Linked DNA regions of Ovis aries. The protein of the gene in region 4 interacts with the protein of the main gene of each other region in a pairwise test. Links are inferred from orthologs where the notes say so. Each region holds a gene or a part of one and is shown on either strand. Other genes may lie near its edges.

Region 1 (4,146 bases), on a different chromosome or scaffold from region 4:
CACGGAGAATCCGGAACATCTGCACCAAGAGCAGGCGGTCGTTCAACAAACACGCTCGCAGCCACCACCACGCCACTGCTCTATTCCTGGGAGCAGGAAAAATCCTGAATCCACTCATCTGAGGTCTCATGTCTCACCAGAGACCTAAGAATAACCCCCCAAAGAATCCACCAGCCCACTTTCTGTGCTTGAAAGCAGAAGGACAGGAAACTGAGGCTTGGAACAGAGAAGTAAGGGGCCCAAGGACCTTCAATCATTTGTTCATTCAACCAGCAGGTACTGGAACCAGTGCAACCTCAGTGGGGCTCTCCATTTAGAGAGAGAGAGGAGTCTCACAAGCCAATGCACCTACAAGCCAGTGTGACTGCTGCTTTGCACACCAAGAGTGTGGAAACACAAGGAAGTGTCTCGCAGTCTGCCCGAAGAATGGGGTGTTGTTTCTTCAGAAGAGGAAGCTGCTCTGAGCAGAGGAGCAGCGGGAGGGCGCTCCAGGCAGATGGCACAGCCTGTGCAAAGGCCTGGAAGCTGGATGGGCCCAGCATTAGGTGTGGGACAGAGGCCCTAACAACAGCTGTAGCCTCAGCTCTGCAAATGGGCAGGTAAGTGGGAAGAGCGACCCTGAGCACAGAGAGCCAATAAGGCATGCAAAGCCAGCACCAGAACTCGGGTCTCCAGGCTCCTCTTCCAGGCTCTTTTGCACACTCTGCCACCCTTGGTACCAAGTTGAGGTATGAGTTTACTCAATGAGTTACCTGATGAATGAAAGCCTCCATCAAAGTTCAGCAGCATCAAGCCTCCGCCAGCTACATGTACGCTGACCTCCCCACCCCTGCCTTGGTCATCTCCGGTGACCATTACAGACAGGAGGAAGGAAATGCCTACAGAATCTCCCTCTCGAGAGACCCTTCTGGGGCCGTAATTCAGGAGGGCCACAGAGTGTACATTCTGGGCTCCGAGACATGCTCTCCTATTTGCTGAGTATTCACTGAGCACCGAGCCTGGTGCCAGGCTCTGTGCTAGGCACCAGAAAGATTCGCAAAAGGTGGTTACAAACTCTCATACAGCGTTCCCTAATTCAGAAACGGGCCCGGCTGGAAACTCTACTATCGCCCGGGAGAGGCCAAGAGAGATGCAGAGAGGCCCAGGATTTGCTTGCTCAAGATCACTTGGCCAGGAGGTGTCAGGCTGGGACGTGTCTCCGGAAACGACTGGTCACAGGGCTTTTGCCAAAAGAGATAAGAGTTCCCGGGGAAACAAAGGAGCCTGGGATCCCTCCTTCATGCCCTGCGGGCTGCCCTTTACCCACACAGCAGGCGGAGGCCAAACTGGCAGGCACCACCCAGAATGGCAGGGCCCTGTCATACTGGGAGGGGCCCCTCTCCCTGCCGGGGGAGCCCGGCCACGGCTGGCGGCTCGTGCAAGAGGAGCGGCTCTTGGCTCTAAGCTACCTGGGCTGGTGCCACCGAAGGACTAAGTGCTTGTGGCCAGCGAGTCCAGGATGCAGAGCCCTGGGGTCAGCGAGCCCCTGCCTGGGTCCCCGCCTGGGTCCCTCAGTCCATACAGTGAGGGGTTATGACCCTCCTTCCTGGACTGGGGTCCTTGTGCACATCTGTCTCCTCCGTGGGAATGCTGGCGGGACCCCTGGGTACCCTGGTTAACCCAATGCAAATGGCCGCAAACAGTCCAGAGGACTATGGCTCAGCTATGCCCACCCTCAGCCCTGTACCAGGTCAGACAGCATCCCTACAAAACTCACACAGGGTCTTTGAAGACGCAATCGAATTAAGATGAGGTCACACAGGATTAGGGTGGCCCTAAATCCAGTGGCTGGTATCTTTATAAGCAGAGGGAAACCTGAACTCAGAGACACACAGGGAAAAGGCCACGTGACGACAGAGTCAGAGATAGGAGGGGTGTGTGTATTCGCAAGGGAACACCAAGGACTGCTGGTGACCAGCAGAAGCTGGGAGCAAAGCACCCAACGGACTCACCCTCAGAGCCTTGATAAGGAACCAATGCTGCCAACACCTTGATTTTGGACCTCTGGGCTCCAGGACTGTGAGAGAATCAGTTTTTATTATTTCAGTCCACCCCACAGGCAGGGATTTGTCATGGCGGCTCAAGGAAACGAACATGCTCCCCGCCATCCCCCGCCCCCCCCCGCCCCCCCTCCAGCACAGCTGGCCTTCCATGTGCAGCTGAGGTTCCCTGGGTTCTCCAGGCATCGAAGACTCTTTCAGACTCAACTTCTGTTTCGGGTGCTTCAGAGGAAGTTAATTAGTGATGGGCTTCCCCTGTGGCTCAGCAGTAAAAAATCTGCCTCCAATGCAGGAGACGCAGGAGACATGGGTTCGATCCCTGGGTTGGGAAGATTCCTCTGGAGGAGGAAATGGCAAACCACTCCAGTATTCTTGCCTGGGAAATCCCATGCATGGAGGAGTCTGGTGGGCTACAGTCCAGGAGGTCATAAAGAGTCGGACACGACTGAGTAATTGAGCATGGGCCTAGGGCTTTCACAGGCCTGTAAAGATTCTCCCAAATTCTGAAGATGGACATAAGGTTGCCAGCGCTGTCTGACATCTAAAATACAATTTCTCTCTGTCGTCAGCATCCTGCATAAAAGGACACCCGACACAAGAAAGTTGCTGAGGCCAGGCCTGTCCTTAAGTTTCTCACGTCACCAAGGATCAGTGAGACAGCCTCACAGACCCAGACCTGGCCTGGGTCTGGGGTTTGGGAACCAAATTCCAGCTGCTGTGCCCCTCCTGGGTGACTTTTTTTAATCCCTGCTGAGGAAAAGGGAGGCTGGCCTCCTCCACTCTCCTCTGAGTACAAAAAGGAGGTTTCTCCATCTCAGAAACTTGACAAGTATATTCCAGTTAACCTGTGGGTAATTCCAGTTAATCTCCTCTGAGGACTCGGTGATCTCCCAGCCAGAGGGTGGAGGCATTCCGGGCCAGTCAATGAGGGAGGATCAAGAGGGAAAGAAAATAAAAGAGGAAAAAGGAGGAGGGAGAAGGAGAGAGAAGCACTGACCCTTCTTGTGAAAAGAAAACCGAATTGTGAAATTATGCAACGAGCAGACATCACGGGCCGGATGACTCCAGCCTTCCTCAAAGACACCTCGTAAACCCGCGCCCAGCCTTGGAGGGAGAGGCCAGATGCCTGGCGCTGCAGGAAGGGGCTTTCGAAACATCTGGCCCCAGGGGGTGGCCCGATGACCCAATGGAGGCCAGTCACCCTGAGCTCTGTGACCGCTGCACCCACGACTACCGCGTGGTGACCGGTGAGGTGCCCAGAAGAACCGCTGGGGATCACAAGCTGTCTGAGTTCAAGGAATGTTTCTTTTCCAGTAACTCGAGAGTGCTAATCCCATCTTAGAGATGCCCCCAACGCTGGGGAAACTTTCTGCCCCACCGTGCTGGGGTGGCCTTGCCTGGACAGTCTCAGGAACCTTAGATGATAAGGCCAGACGTCCTCGCCTTTCCAGGGCTGGCGTCCATCTCTCCCTCCCTCCCCTTCTACACGCCCAGGCCAGGGGCAGGGTGGGCCCCAGCTCTCAGGAAGCCAGGAAACACACTCTTTTCTGGGCTAAATGCCCAGATTCCTTGAGCAGTCACAGGACACGCTTTTTCTGAGCCGATCCAAAGCCACAGGCGCAGTCTGAAAGTTTCTTTGGGCGGCATGAACCTGCGGGCACCAAGGCACACCTGGAATTCCAGGCTGAAGGCTGGTCAGCAAGAGAGGCCCCAGCTGGGCAGGGGGTCCACGCTGCCTCGGCGGGTGACCAAGGGCACAGAGTTGTGCTCTGTGGGCCAAGAAAACGAGGTTCCTTCATTCCGTCATCATTTGCCAGGCTTTTCTTGAGAGACTCACGGAGCCAAGGGCTGTCTGAGGAGCAAAGCAGAGAGCCTTATCCCTCTAGAGGTGTGTGGTCAAGAGGTGGATCCAGACACAGCAGCAGACAGACACGGCCATTTCAGACTTAATAAGTGCTACGAGGGAAACACAGCTGAGGAGCGGGTTGGGGTGAAACAAATAAGGCTTCATGGGGTCGCTGGGACAATTAAATCAGATCGTGCAGCAAACTGCTTAGCAAATAATCGGTAGGGCAACCGAAGCCAGAAAGAGAAGGGCTGGAGCAGG
Region 2 (4,203 bases), on a different chromosome or scaffold from region 4:
TACCGTTTGATCCAGCAAGTCTGCTCTTGCGTGTGTGCTAAATTGCTTTAGTTGTGTCCAACTCTTTGTGACCCTATGGACTGCAGTCCACCAGGCTTTTCTGTCCATGGAATTCTCTAGCCAAGAATACTGGAGTGGGTTGCCATTCCCTTCTCCAAGGGCTCTTCCTGACCCACGAATCAAAGCCGGGTCTCCTGCCTTGCAGGTGTATTCTTTAACCCTGAGCCACTGGGGACGTCCTATTTATTTTTAGGTACCTCCTATGAGAAACGAAAACACATTCTCACACAAAAACCTGTATTCAAGTGTTTACAAAGGCATTCAGAACAGTCAAATGATGAAAACCACCCAAATGTTCATCAATGACTGACTGGGTAAATAAGACATGGTGTGTCCCCAAAACTGAATATTACCAGTTATGAAAAAGAATGAAGTACTGACATGCGCTAACTCTAGGACAAACCTTGTGAAAGTGAAAGTGAAGGTGCTCAGTCGTGTCCGACTCTTTGCAACCCCGTAGACTGTAGCCTACCAGGCTCCTCCGTCCATGGGATTTTCCAGGCAAGAGTACTGGAGTGGGTTGCCATTTCCTTCTCCAGAGGATCTTCCGGACCCAGAGATCGAACCAGGGTCTCCTGCATTGTAGGCAGATGCTTTACCGTCTGAGCCACCAGGGAAGCCAGGACGAACCTTGGATATACGCTAAATGGAGAAAAAGACCACATTCCATTTATATGAAATGTCCAAAATAGGGAAATCTATAGATACAGATCTCTGGTGGCTCACAGGTTAAAGCATCTGCCTGCAATGCGGGAGACCCCGGTTCAATCCCTGGGTCAGGAAGACCCCCTGGAGAAGGAAATGGCAACCCACTCCAGTACTCTTGCCTGGAGAATCCCATGGAGGGAGGAGCCTGGTAGGCGACCGTCCACAGGGTCGCAAAGAGTCGGACACGGCTGAGCGACTTGACTTCATAGAGAGTGAAGTAGTGGTTGTCTAGGGCTGGAGGGATGGGGTGGGGCAGGGGGATACTCAGAGTGGCAGCTAATGGGTACAGGGATCCTTTGGTGTCATAAGAAGGTTCCAGAACTGATGGCAGCAGAACTCTGAGTATACTGTGCTTAGTCGCTCAGTATGTCCGACTCTGCAACCCCATGGACTGTAACCCGCCAGGCTCCTCTGTCCACAGGGATTCTCCAGGCAAGAATACTGGAGTGGGTAGCCATGCCCTTCCTCCAGGGGATCTTCCCAACCCAGGGATTGAACCCAGGTCTCCCGCAACAAGGGTGGATTCTTTACCATCTGAGCCATTAGGGACCATTAAACTGTACAATCTAAGTGAGTGAATTCTAAATGCATCATCTCAGTAAGGCTGTTTTAAAATTCTTCAGGGCAAGTGTATCTACCACAGCAATTACTATAAACGGGCCAGATGACTAAACACTTTTCCCCAAAACCGCTCTAGCATCCACAGCACTGCTGGCAAACTTTTTCTGTAAAAAGCCAAAGTGTTTTAAGCTTTGCAGGCCATCCAGTGTCTGGCACAACCAGCCAACTCTGCACTGTAGTGAAAACAGCCTTAGGTGTGTGTCAGTGAATGAGCGGGCCTGGGTTCCTGGAAAACTATTTACAAAAACAGGTGGCAGGCTGGCCTCCCTATCTACAGCATCTCCCTCAATCCAGCACAAGCTGTCTCTTTAGAGGAGGCAGACAATGAGACGCTAAACCACTTGTGCAGACAAGACAACTTGTAAGCAGAGACCCCCAGCTTTGACTTCACCGGTGTACTCCTCAGCTGGACAGGCAGGCTCTCTGAAGACCTTTCTTCTCTATGCAGCTGATGGCTGGGACAGCTGGTAGGGGACTGGAGGCCACACGGGCGACCTCGGAACAGCTCCAACACCGCAGTGACCTTCTCCTCACCCCCACCTTCAGCACAGTACTAACTGGCAGGAAAGAAAGCGTTACTGTCTTCACTCACTTAAAGTCAGTCCCACTCTTATCCCAAAATCTTTGCCTAGGAGTAAGAAAGATCCGCTACAGAAAGCCTCATCCGAGTCGGAAGTGCAGGAAGGGGGCACGGGGTGTCAACTCCTTAGAAGAGGTGGCAGGTGTTCTGGGAGGGCAGCAGGAGGCAGGGCCAGGACAGCTGTGGAGCAAGCGGCCGGGATGGAAGACTTAAAGCCCGAGCTTCAGGCCCCTTCAGTGCCGGTCGCGGGGACACAGAAAGCAGCCTAGCAGACTGGCCTTTGCCCCGCAAACCTCTGAGTCTGCTTCGCGCCTCTAGCGCAATCCCGACCCAGAAGTCGAATTTCCCCGCCTGAAAATAAGGATGACCTCTGCTTCCCCAGTGAAAGAGAGAAAAACCGCACCTGCCAAAAGGAAACGACGCGCGTGTGCCCTGGAGCGATCCCTGCCCTCGCGGGGAACTTCCCTCCCACCGTGTGACCCTGCATGGCCGACCCCTCAGCCTGCTCCGCCCTGGCCTCTCTCACCTGCCGGGGGCACGTAGGCCCGGAAGGGGATAGGGGGCTTTCGCCCCAGCCCCTCGGAGGCGGTGAGGCCACTTCGGGGCCGGTTCAGGAGGCGACGCCCCCCATCCCGCAGCCGAAGGCAGCTCCTCCACATCGCGCGGGGGCCTCAGAGAACGACCGCTCGAAACCAGAGCTCGGGGAAAAGGAGCGGAGGGACCACACGCCGTGTGCTCGAACTCCACAAACCTCCTCACCAGTCGCCGGCACCCTCTCCCTTTTGGGGCGCCGCCATGTTGCGCACGACACTCGTAGCGCGCCGCCGCCGCGCGCCTCAGCGCACGCCGCAGCCAATCAGCATCACAAACGCCCCGGCCCCGCCCCCGCGCCGCGCCTCGGGAAAAAGACTACAAGTACCAGAGGGCCTCGGCTCCCGCCACGTGCTTTCCCCGCCCGCCAATGGGCGGAATCGCCGAGCCAGCCTGATCCCGCCCCTCAGCGCGCCCGAGCCAATCGGAAGGGGTGTGTGTGCGAGCGCAGGCGGGGAGGGGGTTCGCTCAGGACCCGGAGGCCCTGCTCGCAGGTCCCGGGGTCCCGGTGGTGGCCGGAGCGCTCGATCTGCTTGCGGCCGGCGGGTGGACCCCTCCCGCCCTACGCGCGCGCCGGCTTCTCCTCCGTCTGCCCTCGGCTTCCGCGCGGCGGCGGCGGTTCCTCCCCCTCCCCCAGCCCTGGCTCCGGGGGACCCCGCGATGCCGGTCCGCACCGAGTGTCCCCCGCCGGCCGGTGCCTCGGCCGCCTCCGCCGCCTCGCTCATCCCGCCGCCGCCTATCAACACGCAGCAGCCCGGCGTGGCCACCAGCCTGCTCTACAGCGGCTCCAAGTTCCGCGGCCACCAGAAGAGCAAGGGGAACTCGTACGACGTGGAGGTAGTGCTGCAGGTGAGCCGGCGGCCCGGCCTCTCGAGACGTCCACGGACCGGGCCACGCCGCCGCCCCCTGGGGCCCGCGGCCACGGACGGGCCTGCTGCCCGGGCCTGCCGGGGGCCCTCCGGCGCACCCCAACCCTGCGGGCCCGAGCCGGGGACCGGCCGCCTCAGATCCGGCCCTGCCTCCCCGTGGCCTGTCGCCCCGGCAACAGTCTTTCTTTCAGTCCCTCTCGGACCCCGTCCGGGAAACTCTCCAGGGATTCCCTCTGACTCTGGACGCTCCCAGGCCCTAGACGTGCCTGCTGCCTCCCACGTTTTCCTCGGTCCCATGAACCCCAGGCCCTGGGACCCGCCTCCTTCTCCGGGGGTTTCCTCCCCGGCAGAGCTTCATCCGCCTCCTCTCTCCATCAGCCCCGGGACCTGAGGGCCCCCATCCCACCTGGACTGCTGGCCCATTCCTTAGCCTGGGCACTCACATCCTAAGTGGGCTCCTCACAGTCTGTTAGAAGCTGATCTCCTAGCCCCCAACCCATAGTCTCTTCCTGGCTCAGACTCTTGACACTCCCTACTCCCCACCCTCTTTCCACTTCCAGTCCACTCCTGTTCTGTCCATCTGTCTGCCCAGACCTCCCCATCTCTCTGTTCTCCTCCTTCCTGGCTCTAGGGGACCCTCTTACTGTATTTTTAACTTTGATCCACATGTCAGGGCTTCCTTTGTAGTCTCTGATACTCATGCTAGGAAATGTAACTCACCCACTTTTATTTCTCATATGGTATTTCCTCCCCCCATCTGACCTGGATTTCTGA
Region 3 (3,950 bases), on a different chromosome or scaffold from region 4:
CCACCGCCGATAACACCCATAGTGAAGGCTCCACCGCAATCATCCACAATTCGCCATGGGCTGCAAGCGGGAAGGGGAGGATGAGGTTAATGTGAGCGCTCCCTCATGCCAAGTCACAAGATCTCTTTCCAACTGGGAGCAATACGTCACCCAAATGAGAACTAGCACTTCAGATAATACTGGGATTATTTCTCCCCTCATTTAAGCAAAAAATAATGTGAAGAGGGGAAAACATCAGTCTTGGCCCTGTCCGCCCCTCCCCTTCACAGCCAACCAGGGAATCAACCAACTGGTTGACTACTGTCAAAGATTAAATGAATTAATGAGAGGGCATTAATTAAAGAATTGGCACGTTTGAATTACGCTACAGGTGTTGCAGGCACTGTTCCTTAAGCAGAATGGGGTAGCACCCCTTTTTCCGATAATGAGCACGTCCAACAAAGCCACGTCCTCTTCCCTTTTCACCCTCGCACAACTGGGGAAAATCAAGCACATAGAGTGCGGAGGACCCATCACCCCTCCATGACCACAATCATGGTCAGGCTCATCCAGGCCCCGCCAGCATTAACCAAAGCGACCTGGGAAAAACCATGCGTTTTTCCAGGGGATACCCGCTCAACACCGCACCACCCCCTGGCTGGAATGGATTCGACCAGCGTGTCTTTAACAGAGGGGCTGGGAGGTACGGAATCAAGGAAAACGTGGAGTGGTCCGTCCTGCACCAAACCTTCTTCTGCAGGCACACAATTGTGGCCCCTTTTAACGGAGCCCGAGTAAGAGAAACCAAGTGGAGAGGAGCAGAAGACAACAAAAATCTAAATGTGTTCCGAGTCTGGGACGTGGCGCTGTGTGGCCCGTGCCTCCCCCACCCGCCTCCCACCGCTGGCCGTGGCGCCGCAGCAACAGTCCCGACACCTATGCCCCTCGCTGTACCAAGGTTCCCGAGCATACTCCTCCATGGCGCCGGCGTCCGGCCGCGCAGTATCGCTAAACCCTGGCCGGGCCACACCTCCACTGGAAACGTATACAAGCGCCCGAGCTTTCCACCTATCCCAGGGCAACGGTTCTGTTGTTTCGCCAGACTTCAGATCAAAGCGCATTCTCATTGGCTAGGTAGGTTTGCGTCATCTTTTCACTGCGTGAGCGTCGTGCAGTTACGTCTAAGCTCGGGGAGAGAGAAACTCATTCTGTGCTTTGGGAGAAGAGAGTCGTGTGGTCCTGGCGCTCATAGAGACGACGAGAGAGAGGTGGCCAGTTGGAAAGTCGTCCACTACTTGCGTGACTGTATTGGTAATTTGGGGTGGGTGCATTTTTTGGAGCTGGAGGAGGTGTTACACTGTGCTCCCCCATCCCAACGCTTTGGTTCCTCCCACCCAGCAGTCTTTGGGGGACGTTGGGTGAAACCATTTTGGGTAGTGGGGGAGCCGCGCATGGCCCCTTGGGCTGGGCGGAGCCTGGGCCTAGGACGGGAACCCGGTGCTGCAGCCACTGGCCTGGGAGAGCGGAGTTGGTGAGAGTGTTGGTGATATTGCTGTTTACAACCCCTTCCACCTTTCAGCGGGTAGGGTCTATTTCCCTCCTAGTGTAGATGGGGGTCCAGATTGAGTACATGCTGCGGGGAGGCCCTTGGTTACTCTTGTAACCAGATTCAGTCCTCATCTGAGCTGTTTTTCAGGCTGTCTGTCCTTCCGTAGGCCTGTCTGCCATCCGCTATGCCGCTGCCTGTTGCGTTGCAGACCCGCTTGGCCAAGAGAGGCATCCTCAAACATTTGGAGCCTGGTGAGAGAACTAAGAGAAGAGAGGCCTACCATGTGCCCGACTTGACAGGCACTTTGTTGCGGATACTGCCGCTTGATATCTAGCATGGGCCTATTGTGCACCAAGCAGTGGGGTGGCAGGCATTTCCTTGTTAACAATACGTGTTGAAAGTGAAAGAAAGTGAAAGTGAAGTCGCTCGGTCGTGTCCGACTCTTTGCGACCCCGTGGACTGTAGCCTACGAGGCTCCTCCGTCCATGGAATTCTCCAGGCAAGAATACTTGGACGGGAGTGGGTTGCCATTTCCTTCTCCAGGGGAATCTTCCCTACCCAGGGATCGAACCCGGGTCTCCCGCATTGCGGGCAGATGCTTTAACCTCTGAGCTACCAGGGATTCCCAACAATACGTGTTACTGACCCCTATTCCTGTCCTATGAGGAGGAGGGGAGGTGGGGTATGGAATAGACATTTCGTCCTTAACACTGACAGTTGATGTGTATTTTGGGGTCTTCTGTAGCCAAAGTTTAACCCATCAGTTAATTCCTGGAAGTATAATAAGGATAGTAATAGTAAGCTGACACCTATGGCAGCCTCCTGTCGGCCAAGTATAGTCGCAGGGTGCTGATACTTTGTTCTGTAACATACTAGTAGATAACATTATTTCAGACCTGCTGTGGAACTAGGCACTGTGTGAGTTGTCCATACCTTATTGTTCACCATGTCAATAGCTGACATGTATTTTGAGTCTTCTTAAGTGCTTATCATACACTGTGGTTAACAGTATATAAAGTAATGATAGGATCTATCATTTAGGCCTACTGTGCTGCTGTTGCTAGTATTTATACCTTATTTATCAATAATAGTAAAAGCTGGCATCTATTTTGGGCTAAGGTGTGCCAGGTACTAGAAAACTCATCTTATTTTCACTTTATTGATAAGTGACACCTATTACAAGCCTGTTGTATGCCAAAGATCTTTGGTTATTAATAATATTGATAATGATACTGATATGGTATTTATTTTAAGGCTGTTTGCTACCAGGCCCTGTACTAACTGTATGTATCTTACTAACAATATTAATGATTGTAGCTGACATCTATTTGGGGCCTATTGTGTGACAGGCACTATGCTGTTGCTGACATATACATTTAATTGTTAACTATATCCATGGGTGAAATCTGTGATAGGACTACTGAGGTCCAAGTACTCATACACCTTTCTTTATTCTGTTGATAGTAACTGACAACTATTGCAGGCATCAGGAACTGAACAGATTCAGAGAAGTGTTTGGATAAATCCCTTGCTGTCCAAACTTGCTAGTCAATATATAGGAGTCAGAAACCCCATATTTGCCAGCCGTGGAAGCTGAATAGATTTGGACATATTTTTAGGTAAACCCCTTGCTGTTGAAACTCATTTTATTCAAATTTGCATAATACAGTGTCACATACTATTTGAACTCAGAAGCTGAATAAATATGGATACTTTTTAAAAAAAATGTATCCCTGTCTAAAGTATGAAACCAGATAAGTTTGGGTAGTAGTACCCGTAAACAGATTTGAGTAAATTTTTTTGGTAAATCCTGATATTCAGATACTTGGATTTGGAACATGAGCAGTATTTGCTCTGGCATGTGAGACCTGGCATGCACACACACACACACAGTCCACGTGAATGTGAGTGTGTCTCTCCAGGCCCTGATTGCAGGATGGGAATCTCCCTGGTTCTTACTGCTGTCCTCTTCCCTTCCTTGTCCTGCCAGAACCAGAGGAAGAGATCATTGCTGAGGACTATGATGACGATCCTGTGGACTATGAGGCTACCCGGTTGGAGGGCCTGCCACCAAGCTGGTACAAGGTGTTTGACCCTTCCTGGTGAGCCTGACGACATGCGGGTGGGGAGGGAGAGCTAACTTCTGACTTCACCCTTCCTGTGAAGGGTTCAGTTCAGTTCAGTCACTCAGTCATGTCCGACTCTTTGTGACCCCATGAATCACAGCACACCAGGCCTCCCTGTCCATCACCAACTCCCAGAGTTCACTCAAACTGATGTCCATCGAGTCAGTGATGCCATCCAGCCATCTCATCCTCTGTCGTCCCCTTCTCCTCCTGCCCCCAATCCCTCCCAGCATCAGAGTCCTTTTCAATGAGTCAACACTTTGCATGAGATGGCCAAAGTATTAGGGTTTCAGCTT
Region 4 (3,500 bases):
GGCTGCCTTGGCTCCCCGACGGTCCGGTGGCCCGAGGACCCAGGAAGCTAGGTAGGGATGGTACCCCTCGAGGTTTGGGCAGCACTGGCTTGAAGGCTGTTGGGCGGATCACAATTTTCTCCATGTTCTGAAATGAGGTGCCATTTGACAATAGGGATGAGCCGCCCAATCTCTTGAAGCCCTTATCACACTCCCTGCCCTCCCATCCAGGGCCCCCAGTCCCCATATAGTAATAACAATTGCTACCACTGGCTGAGGGCCCCCTGTGTCAGCTTTACTTACGTCAGGCAACTTAAAATGTACCTCTCAGGTCATTACAAAATCCATGCAAGCAAAATATCATCGCTATTGCATACATAGATGAGGAAATGGAGGCTGAGGGAGTTACAGGCTTTGCACAAATGCAAACACACACTAGCTATTTAAAACAGTATTTCTAAGAAGCTAACATTTATTGAGTACCTATTATGTGCCAGGCACTATGCTAAACACTTTACACATATTATTTGATTTAATTCTCACAACAATCCTATGAGAATTGACCTGTTACCTCCATTTTACAAACACAGAAACTGAGGCTCAGAAAGGTTAAATGATGTCCCTGAGTGAGGTAGAGCTGGGATAAGAACCCAAGTCTGGTGAATCTGGAGCCCACACTCCTTCCTATAAATAGGTCTCCAAATTTCAGCTTCTCCAGGGGACCTCTGATTCCACCCAGACCCTCAAAAGAAGGGCTGGTCCTCACCTTCTCTAGCTTTCCAGAGACAGGGATGAGCTTTGGTGGGGGACCACGGAGGTGAGCATTGCGTGCCCGCTGCTCTCGGGCATCTTCAAGGTCACTGCTTGGGCTGGGGGGTGACTCTGTCCGGAAGTCCTCGTTGATGTAGGTAAAGTTGGTACCAGGGACAGCCTTCCTGGGGGGCACAGCTGGGCACAGTGGCTCCTGTGCCTCGTAGCCACCCCGCAGCAGCCCATCCTGCTGGCGGAAGAAGGTGGGTCCAGGGGGACCATGGTGGCGAGGAGGAGCCGGCCCCCCGGGGCAGGGCCGGCCTGAGATGAGGCTGCTCACGCTGCCCATGGCTGGAGCTTGTGGGGCGGTAGCGGCCTCAGGAGCGGGTTCCAGGGGCACTGGCAGTGTCTGCACAATGGCCATGGCGGCAGAGGCTCAGGCCTGGCCAGGGGCCTCCAGGGAAACCTGTGAGCAGGGAAGTGGCATCAGAGTCTCTCCATCGTGAGCTCCCTTCCTGTGTGAAGTCCTGAGTCCCTCCTGGTCCTTAGTCTCTGGTCAAACGGCCCACCCAACATCAGTGAAAAGCACTGATATCCTCCCCCTAACACATCCCCTCTTGCATCTTGGCAAGAACCTCCATCCTCCCTGGGCCCCAGACCACTGCCCAATTCTGGTCTGAATAGGGCTAAGGACTGAATCTATCAAGCAGGGATGATGAGGGAATGGGGGTCCCACAGAGGCCAGGAATCAGGGAGGAAGCCCTCTGTACCAGCTCCTGGCACTGGTCCCTGTTCCACTGGGACAGGTGGACTCATTAGATGCAGTCTGGGCAAACTCAGGGGTGCAGTCTGCAGCTCAAAATGGTAATTAGGGAACAAAGAGCTAAGGTCAGGCAGTGCCCAGCCTCACCCAGCTGGGCCTCAGTTTCTCCCAGACAGAGAGGCGGCAAGGGTGGAGCTGGTCAAACAAGAACCAGAGCTCTCAGGGAACCCACAGGTGCCCTCTGGGGTCTCCTGCCTCCCAGAGGTGGATGTAGGCTCATGCCTATTTCCATGACAATTCCTAGCCTCACCGCACCCAGTCAGTCAGGCCTAAAGAAGCCTCCACAGGCCCATTGCCAACCTCTATGAAACCTTTTAGCTTTCGACATTCCCCAGAGTAAATCCAAAGGGATGAGAATAGAGGCTCTACCATCACCTCTGGCAGCTGCTCCAGGGAAGAGAGCTCCACCTTCCCAGGCCCTGCTCTTCCTGGAAGGGGATAGCAAGCCTCCACCCGGAACTCCCTCCCTAGTCCTGAGGCTGAAGACCAGGGCTCAGGCATCTGCTGAAGTCATCATGCAGAGCGGGGGCCAAGAAGTGGACAGAGAACTGCGTAGGAGTAGGAGTGTATGCATTTTACTTATTTGTGTGTGTGAAACTGTGCACAAGAACATGAACATGAGCACTGTGTGTGAAAACATGAGTGTATGTGAGTACACGTATGTTTGGATAGATGTATCAATACATTCAGATATATACATGTATATATACATGAACTCATATGGGCATACCTTACAAAAATCTGTGCAGCTCTCTCAGAAAGTATCTGAAAATTATAAATGCATACATTAGTGAATCTGTGATGTATGAGTGTGACTATGTCAGAGAATGGTTTGATGTCCATTCATATATACACGAGTTTATGTATCCTACACAAGCGTGTGAACAGGAAATAGTGCACAAGTGTGTACAGAGTGTTGTGTGTGCATGTGAGAGGGTGAGAGTCTGGGTGGCACGCAGGGCCAAATGAGTGAGTGGGAGCCTGGTTTTTGTCACTCACTGGAGTGTGTGGAGAGGAGAGACACATTATTCTTTGCTTGATCTGCTCTCCTTCATTCTTGCTTGTGTTCGTTAAGTCCACCCTCCCCCACCTTCCCGCTCAAGTCAAAAGATCTGGAGGAAGGTGTCCAGACTGAGGGAGGAGGAGCTGGGAGCCAGGGGTGGGGGTGACTGGTGCCCTCGGAGCAGGGGTGGGGACTGAGTCCACCCCACAAGTGCCAGTCCTGAGCAAAGCTGATAGAACACCCCCTCCTCTGCCCTCTCCCAGACCACCCAGGACATGCAGGAAACCGTGGGGAAGGGGCTTCCCTAAGAGGCCAAGAGGGCTGGCACCTCGGTGTGTTTCCCCACTTCAGTGAGCACAGAGTGGAAACTGAGGGGAGGAGACAGAGAGATTCAGACAGGGACCCAAAGGACAGGAGACAAAGACGAAGAGCGGCTCCAGGGCCTGGCGGACCCAGTGAGCCGGGGTCCCCGCGAAGCCAGGGGCCCCTAAACCGAGAAGAGACGCTGAGCTGGGCCCTGAGCGCCAGACACCCACGGAGCCAAAGCCAGGCGCCTGGAAAGCCAGGCCCAGCCAGTCTGGCTCCCGCTCTTGGAGCCCGAGAGAAAAGGAGGGGCAAGTGGAGGCTCCATTTTGAGAAATGCGTTTGTGGCTGTGAGACGGGAACCCCTCGCACTCCCCAACATCCTTGGGAAACCGCTCTGGCACAGCACACACTGCCCGGCTCGGTGGGCCGGGGGCGGTTGAGGGCTGGATGCAGCCGGGGCCCGAGGGAGGTCTGGCCGAGGTCCGAGTTTCCCACAGACCTGTTTCGGGGGCAGAGGAGTTCGGGAAAGTCTCCCCCTCACCAAACTCCAGGACCATCCAGCGGGATCAAGTCTGAGATCACGAGTTTCCATTACAAGACAGGAAGCCGGGAGCCCCCAATCCGCCCTCCGGAGTTCAC

What was found.
Region 1: the proteins of LZTS2 (region 4) and NEK6 interact in binary tests that used the Homo sapiens proteins (3 or more experiments, as listed by UniProt). The two-hybrid records come from large-scale screens. The link is inferred for Ovis aries from reciprocal best matches to the Homo sapiens genes LZTS2 and NEK6.
Region 2: the proteins of LZTS2 (region 4) and ATPAF2 interact in binary tests that used the Homo sapiens proteins (3 or more experiments, as listed by UniProt). The two-hybrid records come from large-scale screens. The link is inferred for Ovis aries from reciprocal best matches to the Homo sapiens genes LZTS2 and ATPAF2.
Region 3: the proteins of LZTS2 (region 4) and PQBP1 interact in binary tests that used the Homo sapiens proteins (3 or more experiments, as listed by UniProt). The two-hybrid records come from large-scale screens. The link is inferred for Ovis aries from reciprocal best matches to the Homo sapiens genes LZTS2 and PQBP1.

Annotation. Positions count from the first base shown.
Region 1 is NC_056056.1:11,541,380-11,545,525, forward strand, and holds the start of NEK6 (serine/threonine-protein kinase Nek6), read right to left. Parts: upstream 2,801-4,146; 5' UTR 1-2,800. UniProt on the Homo sapiens protein: Protein kinase which plays an important role in mitotic cell cycle progression. Required for chromosome segregation at metaphase-anaphase transition, robust mitotic spindle formation and cytokinesis.
Region 2 is NC_056064.1:34,270,544-34,274,746, reverse strand, and holds the start of ATPAF2 (ATP synthase mitochondrial F1 complex assembly factor 2), read right to left. Parts: upstream 2,801-4,203; 5' UTR 2,629-2,800; coding exon 2,496-2,628; intron 1-2,495. Other genes in the region: GID4 (glucose-induced degradation protein 4 homolog), read left to right, coding at 3,221-3,409. UniProt on the Homo sapiens protein: Plays a role in the assembly of the F1 component of the mitochondrial ATP synthase (ATPase).
Region 3 is NC_056080.1:56,175,740-56,179,689, reverse strand, and holds the start of PQBP1 (polyglutamine-binding protein 1), read left to right. Parts: upstream 1-1,150; 5' UTR 1,151-1,300; intron 1,301-1,462; exon of another isoform or gene 1,463-1,561; intron 1,562-1,675; exon of another isoform or gene 1,676-1,694; 5' UTR 1,695-1,712; coding exon 1,713-1,779; intron 1,780-3,156; exon of another isoform or gene 3,157-3,518; coding exon 3,519-3,630; exon of another isoform or gene 3,631-3,950. Other genes in the region: TIMM17B (mitochondrial import inner membrane translocase subunit Tim17-B), read right to left, coding at 1-60, 934-959. UniProt on the Homo sapiens protein: Intrinsically disordered protein that acts as a scaffold, and which is involved in different processes, such as pre-mRNA splicing, transcription regulation, innate immunity and neuron development.
Region 4 is NC_056075.1:21,599,785-21,603,284, reverse strand, and holds part of LZTS2 (leucine zipper putative tumor suppressor 2), read right to left. Parts: exon of another isoform or gene 3,361-3,500; intron 1,196-3,360; 5' UTR 1,154-1,195; coding exon 746-1,153; intron 128-745; coding exon 1-127. UniProt on the Homo sapiens protein: Negative regulator of katanin-mediated microtubule severing and release from the centrosome. Required for central spindle formation and the completion of cytokinesis.